3 linked regions of the Bombyx mori genome follow. The protein of the gene in region 3 purifies or fractionates together with the protein of the main gene of each other region. This does not show direct contact. Links are inferred from orthologs where the notes say so. Each region holds a gene or a part of one and is shown on either strand. Other genes may lie near its edges. The genes, in order: C2 domain-containing protein 5, cyclin dependent kinase 5 and acidic fibroblast growth factor intracellular-binding protein.

What was found.
Region 1: the proteins of acidic fibroblast growth factor intracellular-binding protein (region 3) and C2 domain-containing protein 5 purify together in Homo sapiens (affinity purification with mass spectrometry; 3 studies listed by BioGRID and IntAct, counting the BioPlex papers as one, with this or other methods). This does not show direct contact. The link is inferred for Bombyx mori from reciprocal best matches to the Homo sapiens genes FIBP and C2CD5.
Region 2: the proteins of acidic fibroblast growth factor intracellular-binding protein (region 3) and cyclin dependent kinase 5 purify together in Homo sapiens (affinity purification with mass spectrometry; 7 studies listed by BioGRID and IntAct, counting the BioPlex papers as one, with this or other methods). This does not show direct contact. The link is inferred for Bombyx mori from reciprocal best matches to the Homo sapiens genes FIBP and CDK5.

The regions. Positions count from the first base shown.
Region 1 is NC_085113.1:1,779,782-1,783,435, reverse strand, and holds part of C2 domain-containing protein 5, read left to right. Parts: intron 1-69; coding exon 70-161; intron 162-1,199; coding exon 1,200-1,318; intron 1,319-2,425; coding exon 2,426-2,551; intron 2,552-3,267; coding exon 3,268-3,358; intron 3,359-3,654. UniProt on the Homo sapiens protein: Required for insulin-stimulated glucose transport and glucose transporter SLC2A4/GLUT4 translocation from intracellular glucose storage vesicle (GSV) to the plasma membrane (PM) in adipocytes.
Region 2 is NC_085125.1:9,568,984-9,573,274, reverse strand, and holds cyclin dependent kinase 5, read left to right. Parts: upstream 1-1,382; 5' UTR 1,383-1,392; coding exon 1,393-2,050; intron 2,051-3,461; coding exon 3,462-3,700; 3' UTR 3,701-3,744; downstream 3,745-4,291. UniProt on the Homo sapiens protein: Proline-directed serine/threonine-protein kinase essential for neuronal cell cycle arrest and differentiation and may be involved in apoptotic cell death in neuronal diseases by triggering abortive cell cycle re-entry. Interacts with D1 and D3-type G1 cyclins.
Region 3 is NC_085129.1:16,405,914-16,410,275, reverse strand, and holds the start of acidic fibroblast growth factor intracellular-binding protein, read left to right. Parts: upstream 1-1,413; 5' UTR 1,414-1,581; coding exon 1,582-1,666; intron 1,667-2,510; coding exon 2,511-2,607; intron 2,608-2,923; coding exon 2,924-3,025; intron 3,026-3,329; coding exon 3,330-3,411; intron 3,412-4,085; coding exon 4,086-4,231; intron 4,232-4,362. Other genes in the region: uncharacterized protein LOC105842300, read right to left, coding at 748-811. UniProt on the Homo sapiens protein: May be involved in mitogenic function of FGF1. May mediate with IER2 FGF-signaling in the establishment of laterality in the embryo.

The sequences.
Region 1 (3,654 bases), on a different chromosome or scaffold from region 3:
CGCTCGAAGCGTGTGTCTCAGGACAGCCCGTGTGTCCCTGCTGTGGTCACAACGTACTCTGGTCCGCAGGCGCGCCCGGGTGCCGTCGGTGCTGCTGGCCACGTGCGCCAAGCCCAGCACCATGCCCACGCACGGCAAAGCCGTCACGTTGACTGCTGTAGGTGAGTACCTCGCACTTGGAGCTGCCTGTGCTGTAAGCGCTGGCTGCCAATATAGCTTTACGCAAAGTCAGGCACGTTCCACAGTTTCAATACAGAATTTTTCTTACCTGCCTATGCTAATAGCCTTAAGAGGCTATTTCAGCATAACCTTAACTAGTAGGTGAGCTCACGAGGCTTAAACCGGAGTGTTGCTAACACGGGACCTAGCAAGAGCAGCGCTTCGCAAAATCTATCACCGGATCGGAAACGCGACCCACTGAGAAGATCCGGCGAGAAACTCCATATGTACACATATGGACTTGTTGTTGTTGTCTGAAATAAAAAAAAACATTCATTCATTCATTCATTCATTCATTCACGCAAACCCCGCGTGTTCCACCGTTCAGTTTTATACTTCAGATGGGTTAACGAGCCCTAATGGTCTATTTGGGACTTGCCCAGTTACTCTGGCATAACCTTCTTAGGTTACCAGCTTAGGTTAAAAAACAAGGTCCCATGTGGCATTTGTACCGCCAGACCTAGACAGCATACCTGGAGGGCGGTCATCGGGTGTGTGGGCGACCTAACGAATGCTTCTGTTTATATATCGTCAACGCAACCACGACCACTCTGACAAGAGTGTCCGACTGAGATATAAGTTGTTGCTGGAGTCCATAGACATCAATAATGCTGATGACGTCTTGAGTCATAATTAAGCTCCGATTCTACAGCACAACAGTTGTCCCACCCTTCGGTCTGGGGTCGCGTTACTGCTTCGCGACGGAATCAGGCAGCGCGGTGGTATCTTTTTTTTATTGCCCCTGTGGGCAGACGAGCATACGGCGCACCTCATGATCAGTGGTTACCGTCGCCTATAGACTTCAGCAATGCAAAAATCCTATCTTATCGGTGCGGGACCACGAGAACCCCAGTATTTACGCAAATTTAAATTTTTGCGATTTCGATTTTTATTATACGGTGTGATTCCCGACCGTGTGCCGAGCACGTGTAAGGGGGGCAGGTCGGGCGCCGCCCCCATGTCTCGCTCGTGTGTTCCAGCGGCGCGCGTGCGGAGGGCGCCCCCCACGGCGGAGCCCGGCGCCAGGGACATATCGGATCAGCTACCCTTCTTAGAGTACGAGCTGCACAAGCTGCTGTTAGCCAAACTGAGGATGCAGGTGAGTTTGGGCAAACATTACTATTTTTAATTTTAGAAATGACTAATGCAAAAAAAAAAGATTGTGTGGTTTTATGAAAGCACGGTAAAAGTGAAACTTTTTTTCACATTATATGCATGTAACTTTGACAAACAACATTTACAAACACTGACAAAAACAAACAAAATAGCGTAGAGCACTGGCACAAATGAGTAATAGTCTACACACTACACGCTCAGCTGCTGCGAACTATAGGCGCCGCCATATTGGCCTTGGCTGCTCTGACGATCGCCTTTCACTCTATCCCTACTCCGCGGCTGACCGTCACGCGACATGCAACACACAGACGAAAAAAATTGAGACGATGTAATAAAAGTTTCACTTTAAAAATTACCTGTCTGTGTGCGCTTAATTCTTTTGAACTATCCGATAAGAGTTTATTACGATTTTTTATTGTACTTTAAATATTTTGTTATCGAAGTCTTAAGTGTAAAATAAATGGAAATGATGTTAGAATTTAGAGAGAAAATGTTAATTTTTGACACTGTTAAATGTATAAGTCAGAAGAATGTAAAAACATTCGTAGTTGTTAGCAGCGACTGTCGTTACTGTTTATAAGAGGTAGAAGTATTCAAACATTGTCGTTTATTTGTTTTTGTCATTTGACCGACTCGGCGGTACAGATAGCTGCCCTGACTGTTGCGTCGAGGGTCGTGGGTTCGATTCTCATGTCGGGCACTCGTGTGATGAATAAGTTTATTTGTTCTTTGTCTGGGTCTTTATTATATAATAATAATTATGTATATAAGATAATCAAATCATGTCAGATAAACCTCATTTGAGGTCGATATTATTATTATTATCATTTGTAGCGTCTGTTTTTATAATTCATTGTTGCTTTTGATCGAGCGTTTCACTTTCCGAACGTATCGCTTATAGCGGGGGTCCATGACGCGAAAAAGTATATGTATTTGTTTTTGGCTCTTCGCAGTCCACTCAAATGTTGTAAATCCACTCTTCTCAACTCTTATAATGTAACACACGTCGCGTGCCCCGCGTGTCCGTGGGTCCGGGGGGACTAGTAGGGTGGCCCCCCGCTTGTCCCCCCTTATCGAGCGTGGTCCGCAGGGTGCCAACGCGCTGTTCTCGCTGTGCACGCGCGTGGCGGTGGGCGAGCGCTGCGTGGTGGCGCTGGCCAGCGGGGCCGCGTACCGCCTGCGCGCGCTGCCGCCCCCCGCACCCCCCGCGCTCAAGGTGATCCACCCTTACAATTGAACTGACCTAACCAAAAAACAAACATGTTTATATTTCGAATTTTTTTTATTTATTTATTTCTTATTGCTTAGATGGGTGGACGAGCTCACAGCCCACCTGGTACTAAGGAGCCCATAGACAACTACAACGCAAATGCCGCCACCCACTCTGAGATATTAATTCTAAGTTCTCAGTATAGTTACAACGGCTGTCCCACCCCTCAAATCGAAACACATTACTGCTTCACGGCAGAAATAAGCAGGGCGGTGGTACCTACCCGTGCAGACTCACAAGACGTCCCACCACCAGTAATTACGCAAATTATAATTTTGCAGATTTTATTTCTATTGCACGATGTCATTCCTTTACCGTAAAAGTCAATCGTAAACATTTGTTAAGTACGTATTTCATTAGAAAAGTTGGTACCCGCCTGCGGGATTCGAACACCGTTGCATCGCTAGATACGAATGCACCGGATGTCTTATCCATGAGGCCATGAGGACTTCATGTCCTTAGTTATCCCTAAATCTATATATTATAAACCTATTGTAAAAAACCACTTGATCGATTTGACAATTTGATATTACAACTAACTATTATTAACAGTATATATATATATATTAACTTTACCTAATGGGGACGATGAAACAGTCAAATCTAATTAATTTGACCAATGTAAGTGGATCTGTGTCGTAATGCAACGAATCGTGACCCAGGCCTCAGAAAGTGACCGGGACGCGACTGAGATACAGAGGGCTCTCCGGGACGCGTTCAACGCCAACAAGGCCGCCAACGGATACGACGTCGGTGAGCGCCATATTTCTTATTTTTATTTAGCTTTTGGCTTTAGCACGGTTTGTACATTAGCCAGCGTCAAGTAATAAGATTTTTAAAATTCACCGTTTTAATTATTTACAGTTATGAATAATAAAAAACGAAGTAAACTTAATCAATTGGCATGAAATTAAATTAAATGAGATGATATGGGATGAAATATAATTTCAGTAAAATGATGGCCATTTACTGAGACTTTTTCGAGTGGACTTTTTGGAGGATCTCGAGAATTTGTTCAGCGTTTTTCATTTTCACACATTTGTACACTT
Region 2 (4,291 bases), on a different chromosome or scaffold from region 3:
TTGCACGTTTATAACACCGGTCACTCACATGCGCACGAATACGCAAACCCGCAAGTGTAGGACGACATTTGCAAATGATTATGCAAAGTTTTCGCTACATTCGTGGTTTTCCAAGCTGTGTCGGTTTTTTAACAGACATCAAAGCGCGCGAACCGCGAGCCTTCGCGTAGTCTCCCACACATTCGTTTGCCCAGTTGCGCCGACGATTACGAAGGTAACGGACGTATCGTCATTTTCATAGTTCGTGACGTCTACTGTGTAACGTATCTTCATCAAAAGAAATCCCATAAAAACAGCATGGCTGTTAATGATGTCTGGGAAAGAATTCAAAACTCTTTTTCTCTTCAATGTCTATTGACGAATTAAAAAGGAGGAGAAATTCGTGAGACATTCGTAAACAAGTGTAGGAGGAAGCGCAAACGGGTTCGCGAATTGACTACCGAACCCATTTGCACAGCTGCTAAGTTTGCGAATGAATGTTTGACGGCCCTTCACATGCATAATAATATGTAGATTTATAAGATAGTTGTATGTAGTGTTGGACGGTGAAATTTGAGGGGATTGGGTTCTGTAGGTTGATGAGGGGCTATTTAAAAACACTCTGCTTCATGGTTAATATAATTATATTGCAAACACTTTGTACACTATAACATTATTACAATGTTTTATTTTTTATAAAACTCTTAGATGTTGCTCTGACCGTGTCTAGATGAGAAGTCGTTGTCTTCACTGACGAGAACACAATTATTTATTTTAGACTTTTAAAATAATTCCAATATTCGAAACTGTAACCTTACATGTGTCAACTGTTGCCGGCCATTACTTTCATATTCAAACTCCAACATGTAGTATGTACTAATAAGACAGAGGACTTTTTAGCAGGAATGCGAGGAGTGAAGTTGTGTGAATTGTTTTATTCTGTATATTTAGTGTTTCTTCAGGTTTAAATGTGGTAGTGTGTGATTAATCGTGGCTTATTAACTGTTTAGTATCTGTAAAAGTACACAAATATGGGAAAATAAAACAAAGTCGCTGGACGTAGCTTCTCGGGATCTTCCAAAAAGTCCACAAAAAAGTCTCAGTAAACAATCAACTTTTTACTGAGATTATATTTCACCCCATACTATCTCATCTCATTTAATTTCATTTCATGTCAAGTGATTAACGTTCCAAATTAATCAAATTCATTTAATTTCACTTCATATTATCATTATTCAAAAAATATATATCAAAAGCGTAGGCTGTATAGTAAGATACCTGTGCCTGTCCGGTTGGAAAAATAGAACAACTACTCAAAAATCAGTCAGTCCATAGATTATACACTTAATATAAGTCAGTCTAAATTAAAAACAATCGATCGAACTAAAGTGAGTAAATCTGTAGTTCAAAAATATGCAAAAATATGAGAAACTTGAAAAAATCGGTGAAGGAACCTATGGTACGGTATTTAAAGCCAAGAATAAAGAAACACACGAAATCGTAGCGCTCAAACGTGTTAGATTAGACGACGACGATGAAGGAGTACCATCTTCCGCTCTTCGTGAAATATGTCTTCTCAAAGAATTAAAGCATAAAAATATAGTGCGACTTTACGATGTATTGCACAGCGAAAAGAAATTAACCCTAGTGTTTGAACATTGTGATCAAGACTTAAAAAAATACTTCGATAGTTTGAATGGAGAAATAGATCTAGATGTTGTGAAATCATTCATGTATCAATTACTTCGAGGACTAGCTTTTTGTCACAGCCACAACGTTCTCCATAGGGACTTGAAGCCACAGAATCTCTTAATAAACAAGAACGGTGAATTAAAGTTAGCTGATTTTGGTCTGGCCAGAGCTTTTGGCATACCAGTAAAGTGCTATTCCGCTGAAGTTGTAACCTTATGGTACCGGCCTCCTGATGTATTATTTGGTGCTAAGTTGTACACAACAAGCATTGATATGTGGTCTGCTGGATGTATATTTGCAGAACTTGCAAATTCGGGCAGACCGCTATTCCCAGGTTCAGATGTTGATGATCAATTAAAGAGGATTTTTAAGCTTTTAGGTGAGTTCATCATAATAAATCTCCAAAGTTTTATTACTCTATTCTGAATTTAGGAAGCCTAATTATGATTTTATATTGAAAACCACATAAGGGCTCTTGGTGACAATAAAAAGTCATATCACAAAACTGGTTTAGATCTTAAATTAAATTTGAATGGCCGAGTCTCTGAGCTTAATACCAACATTAACTGCATATAATTATGCAAAAGTAAGAACTATGATTATGTCTGATTGATGCCTTATTTAAAGGATCGGACAGATTATAACAATATGTAAAATAAATTTATTGAATTTTAACTCTCCCAACAAACTAGAGAGTAGGCTTACAATATACCATATCACCATTGCTACTTTATTCTGTTGGGGGCTTAGTAAACAGCTGTCTGATAATTCCACACATACTATTTTCTAGTCAACCCCCTATTAGATTGCAGATTCTGCATAAAAAAGTTAGAAACAATCTATGGGTTGGCATAAAGATTACCGGCCTGACAAAAGTTGTTAGCCTAGTCCTCCAAGTACAAAATAATATAAGAATGTTAATCCCAACACTCACGGTCGAACAATGTCATTAAGTAGGAATAGTGTTTCCTTTCCTATAACTTATTGTAATTGATGAACACTTCGGCATTTAAATAATAAATCATTTTTTTTACTAAAATAGTCAATCATGACATCATGTACCATATTAAACTAAAAAATACATATTATACCATTAAAGTTTGAACATGTGAGTCGTCTATTATCAAAGGTGGCAATCTGTACATTTGGACAAATTTTTTTTATTGATATGTCAATACAGATTTATTTGAATATAATCGTCTCCTTCAAAGAATACGGTTCAAAACCTGCATTAAATAAAGGTTAATAGTTAACCTGTTATTTATCTAAGATGTCGTTCCGAAGAGTTTTGTGACTGCCAATGGAATACAAAGTCAATAATTCGTTTTTCTGATTTACCAATCATTGTCAAAAAGTCAGATTGCCGCCTTTGATAATAGTCGACTCATGTTTCAAATTTTGTGTTGTTATTTAATTTTTTTGCTGAGTCATATTGCAGACCCCTTCTATATATATATCATAAATACTTTAATTAGCAAATGAATATAATTTTCTGCCATCATAAGATTTCTTCTTCTGCATTTCAGAAACTTACGGTAAACATAGTATTTATAAAAATGCCTACAGAGTGTACTGAAGTGTTACAAAATAATAGTTAACTTTTACATATTTTTAGTAAAAATATATAGATTTGTCTAGGAAAATTACATCAAAGCTCTTGCATTGTAAATATTGTGCCATTTGCAAAGACTTATTCATTGACATACAAATAGGAAGTGTGTCACTGGTATTGTATGGGTGTATTAATCTGTCAGTTATCCTTTTTCAATCAAACTATGTTTACTTATCAGGTACACCCAATGAGGACACATGGCCTGGAGTAACTCAACTGCCGGACTACAAACCTTTGCCTGTTTATCAGCCAAGTTTAGGCCTCGCCCAAGTTGTACCAAGATTGCCGGCTAGAGGTCGAGATCTACTCGCTCGGCTGCTCACCTGCAATCCAGCTTTAAGAATGCCAGCTGATGATGCAATGGCGCATGCGTATTTCCACGATCTCAATCCGTCAGTCAAGAATGATCGATGTTAACAATCAATCCATCCGTACAAATGTACGTCAGAACTTATTTATTGTGAAAAGAACTATGATGAAATAGAAGAGTGTTGTGAGGATGAGACTTAATTAGATTTTAAGAAAAGTACTGCCAAATACTGTATTTTTACCAAGTAATTTTAAATACCATAATATTGGGAATTGTTATGTTTCAAATTATATTGATAAGGTTCCAGTATTTGGCTACTAGTGATATTTTTAATCGATTTTATAATTATTACTGAAATGTCCTAAATTAAAATGAAGTTAACTTTATGAACAAATGGTTTACAAATGGACTTTAATAATGTGTAATATGAAAGATGAAATGATGAATTAAAAAGTAAAAACATATAAATATTAAGTATAATATTGATGCGTAAAACATAAATGCACTTTGAAACAAAACAAAATTGATTGTTAAAATGAAACTTATTTATATTTAGCAATGAAAATGTAGAGTCAGATAGCTGACTACATATTTAAAAAACTCACTTTACAAAATTGTAAATGTGCATTCACATTATTAGCAACTGACTCCACTCAAAGTGCATTTAAGTTATGTGCATGCTATATTAGTTATATAAG
Region 3 (4,362 bases):
ATTTCAGACCAAGAAATTGTAGAAAATATAACATAAGTAGAGTTAGGCATTGAAGAATTTAAGACAGACCTTGGTGTTAGTACAGTAGTCAAGGTCACTGGCCACTAGACCAAGGATCAAAGCATAATAAACAACTAATGAATGCCTATAGATATCAACAATAACGTAATAGTTCAATGACAAAATCTTATAATTGTACCATCTTAATTACCATTAATTATTATCGGTTTGCAATATTTTTCATATCACCGGGATTTATTATTTTTTAATAATTTTTATATTATTAAAACTGCACAGTAATTCTTATAATAAACTTTTCATTAATTAATTACTTTAGGCTAGTTAAAATGCACTTTTATTTTCGATATTAAAAAAGAATTGGTTGAGAATGTTACAACTTTAAAGAATGGTTTATTTATGTTTTTTTTTTCCTATATCACATAGCACAAAAGTGAAAGGACCCATCTTTAAATACTAGCAGTGCTATTACCGTTAGAGTCCCCAGTCAAATATGCGTAATTTTTCGTTAAAAATAAAGTTGTTTTTTCGTTGTTTTTGACGGAAACTATAGCGAATTTATTGAGGACCTTGTCCTTAATCGATAATTAAATGCTACAGACCCGCAGTTATATAAAATCAAGGTCCTTCGACCGAAATTTTGGACGAAAAACTTATAAACCAAAGTTTGAATGTGGTAAACAAAATATGTGTTTCAAAACTGATGGCTTCGGTTATTTCAATACTTACATGTTTCCGGACTCCAGAGTACAAAAAAAACACATAAAAATGTACAAGATGTTATTGAAAACATTTTTATTTATTTTAATACATATCTAATTGTGACACTACTGTAAGTTCGCCATTTTCGTTTGTGTTACTGCGTATAATCTATGGTTTAACGTTAGCGTTCCGTTTTATTTGACTTCATGTCATTCCTGCCTAGTGCTTCAACGTGTTGTAACTTAATCGAAATTCTTGAATGTTACTTAATCATTAAAATTTTTGAAAATAGTATTACTTAAATGCACTACAAAAAAGGTGTATCAAACTATTTTATTCCTGCTTCCCGTACCTAGTAAAAGAAAGCTTCTAAAGAAAGCTAGCTTTCTAGTAAAAGAAAAAACGAAAAGTTATAGTTTGATAGTTGACAATGATCTGTAGCGCCCAAAAAGTCGACCACCACCACATCTAGGCAGAAAGACTAACGTATTTTGAAGAAGATTTAAATGAATGGAAGAGTGAAAGATGACACTAAATGGTGGAGAGAAGAAAATTAAAATCACTGGATGTGGTTTCTAACTTCATTACATTTATAAAATTAAACAAATACACACTATATTTTTTCTATTCCTTAATTTTATTTCAAAATAATTTTCAATCAATTTCACTAAAGCTATAAAAGGTTTGGCTCATGGCTGTATGGGCTGTGCCTCCGTTTGTCTGATATACAAATATTTTTTTTGCTAATAACAAATTACAAAAATTACGATTAAATCATTTATTTAAATGCATTAAAATAGGTAGCGATTAAAAAGAAATGCAAAGTTAAAGAACAAATAGGTTAAGACAAATAACAAAAAAATGTACACAGAAGTTGATGTATTCGTTAGTAATTATACACTGATCGATCCTGAAATATACCAGTTATGGATCGAGGGTTGCTCATGTGAGTACAGCTGATGTGCTTTTATTACAAATATAATTTTAGTTCTTAATTAAAGTAATAACTCTTATATTCATTAATATTCAAATATTATTAATATCCTCAATGTCGGTCCTATTTCAGAATAAAAACAATATTTGTAGATACAAAATTCTAGCTAAAACTATAATTTATAAATAAAATTGAAAACAATAATACAACTACCATGAAACCCTTAGTGGAGCTCATCTAACTAAGCATTTTTTAATATTGCTTAGTTGGATGAGCCTACGGCCCACCTGATGTCAAGGGGTTACCAAGACACCCTACCACCAAAGACTAGTATAACAGCATTGCTGTGTGACAGCATAACGGTACTATGATGTACATTAGCACTCATGATTTGGTGTCAGGGGGTGAGAGGGCAGAAGAAAAAGGAGTGACTATATTAAAACAGACAGACTATTTCGGTGTAGTATGAAACTTAAAAAGGCTTTGGTCGTAAGTCTCTCATGTAGATCTTGAGGGCTCAACAATATCCTGCCCTGAATTTAAATTGAGAAACTAAGAATCTAATTGCAAATCGAAGTCTAATTTTAATTCTTTTTAGTCCGAGACTACAACCAACACATGAGCATAAGAAATATATATTATAGAGTATGTGCAAAACACGGGAATATTTGACTAGCCTATCAGAATATAGTAGATATACTTGTTGAATTCGGAATATATATTTATCATAGCATATATAGCATCTATATAATTTATTATAAATGACGAAAACCTGTCTTTATTATTGGAAATTCCCAAAACTTTCAAAAGAATATTGTCTTAATTATTGAGAAACAAAATGATACGTAACTTTCAGCTAGTGAAGCAGTGTCAACTCTGCATCAGCGTGGTGCAGCCAAACATTTAGGAACATCTGTAGAGCTGATAGCCAGCGATGTACTCGATCATTACAGGTTAATATCAAAAGATACCTTTTAAATAACCATTACTATTATTAATTTATTAACTCATGGTAACAAATGACTTCAGAGCATAAGTGACAACTGCTTGGCTTTGTCCCTGGCATTGTTGATGTCCATAAGCGATGGAAACCACTTACCATCAGGTGGGCTGTATGCTCAGCTGCCAAAGGCAATAATAAGATATAAGTACTAAATGTGAAAATTATTTGATTGCGTCTCTTCAGATAACACTTTTGTGATAACACCATCATCTTACTCAATGTTGAATGTATGACCATAAAAATATTGTTTTAATTTTATTCATCAGAACTTTTGCATTGCTTGAGAGGCTGCTCACGGTACCATCAAAGTTGACAGAGCAAATGATCTTCCAGCTGGACGAACAGACGAAACACATGCTCATAGAGAAGTGAGTTTATTGTTTTAGGCAAAAGAAATTATATAATTCTGCAGTGAATGAATAATGTCCTATAATTAAATATTGGGATGTATTTTGAACCCCTACGCTTAGAACCCACCATCCTCTTTCTAATGCATTCCATTCAGAAATGAAAGCTTTTGAGCAATTAAATTGAGACTTCCATCTTATCACTTGATCGGTAATAATATTCATATTGTAATAACTACGAGGTGCAATAACCACTAGACACTATAATATATAGGTGATGATTGGTCCATATTATGCAGGTGGCTCATATTATAACATTATACAGATATTATGACCTGGATGATGCAGTCATAAGAGAGTTGCTTGGAAGGAAGTTATCCTCCAGACACAGAAAAGATTTAGATGAGGTGAGTTTTAAGAGCATTTTAAGGATTCAGATTTGACACAATACTAACATCCAGTAAAAAAATATAGACATGATTATTGGCGCTAGATTGAATTGGAATAACACATGGGTATGTATTATTTAATTCTGCTGACAAGTCATTCAGTGTTAATGGTAGGTCAGCTGTTGGACAATATATTAGTTGAAATTACCTTGGGGTTCCTGTGAGCTCTGGTAATCACTTAAAAATAGATGGACCTTGAATTTGATGATCTGTTTCTATTATATTTTGTCTACTGCCGACATTGAGAATAAATTCTATTTTAGCTGGAATGGACCTACTTTAGAACCACTATAGTGAGAGCTCAGTCGGTGTCTAAGAGTCCTCCTAGATGAAATTACAAATCGCCTCCCAAGCCTCTACACAACGCCCCCATGTTTTTTCGGGGTCCGAGAAAGGCTGGTCTATTTAAAGCAAGAAGGAAAAAGCATTTATGGTCAAATCAATGAGACATCCAGTGTGCCAGGATGAATGCACAATTGCGAGCAATGGATATTGATTTAAAAAAAAAATAGTTGCGATCAATGATTAATTGTAAATCTTACCGATTTTCAAGGTTAACCCTACAAATTGTTTTCCAATTTAAAAAAAAAATACAATGTCCGTTATTAAATCGCGTTTTTCCAATGTCCCAGGTGGCGGAACGCTCGGGCGCGCCTCTGCGATGCTGTCGTCGTCAGTTCGACAACGTGCGTAGAGTGTTCAAGGCAGTGGAAGAGATGCCCGGAAACGTGGTCGCCAATATAAGAAGCACATTCTTGCTGTCCGACCCGCTCGCGAAGTGAGTCATTACTGATTTTACCTATCAGAAGTTTAACTTCCGTATTAACAGAAGTTTGACTTCTGCATCTTCAGAAGTTTGACTTCTGTAACTCGGGAAGCATAAGGCGTTCGTTCCAACACTTATCGTTG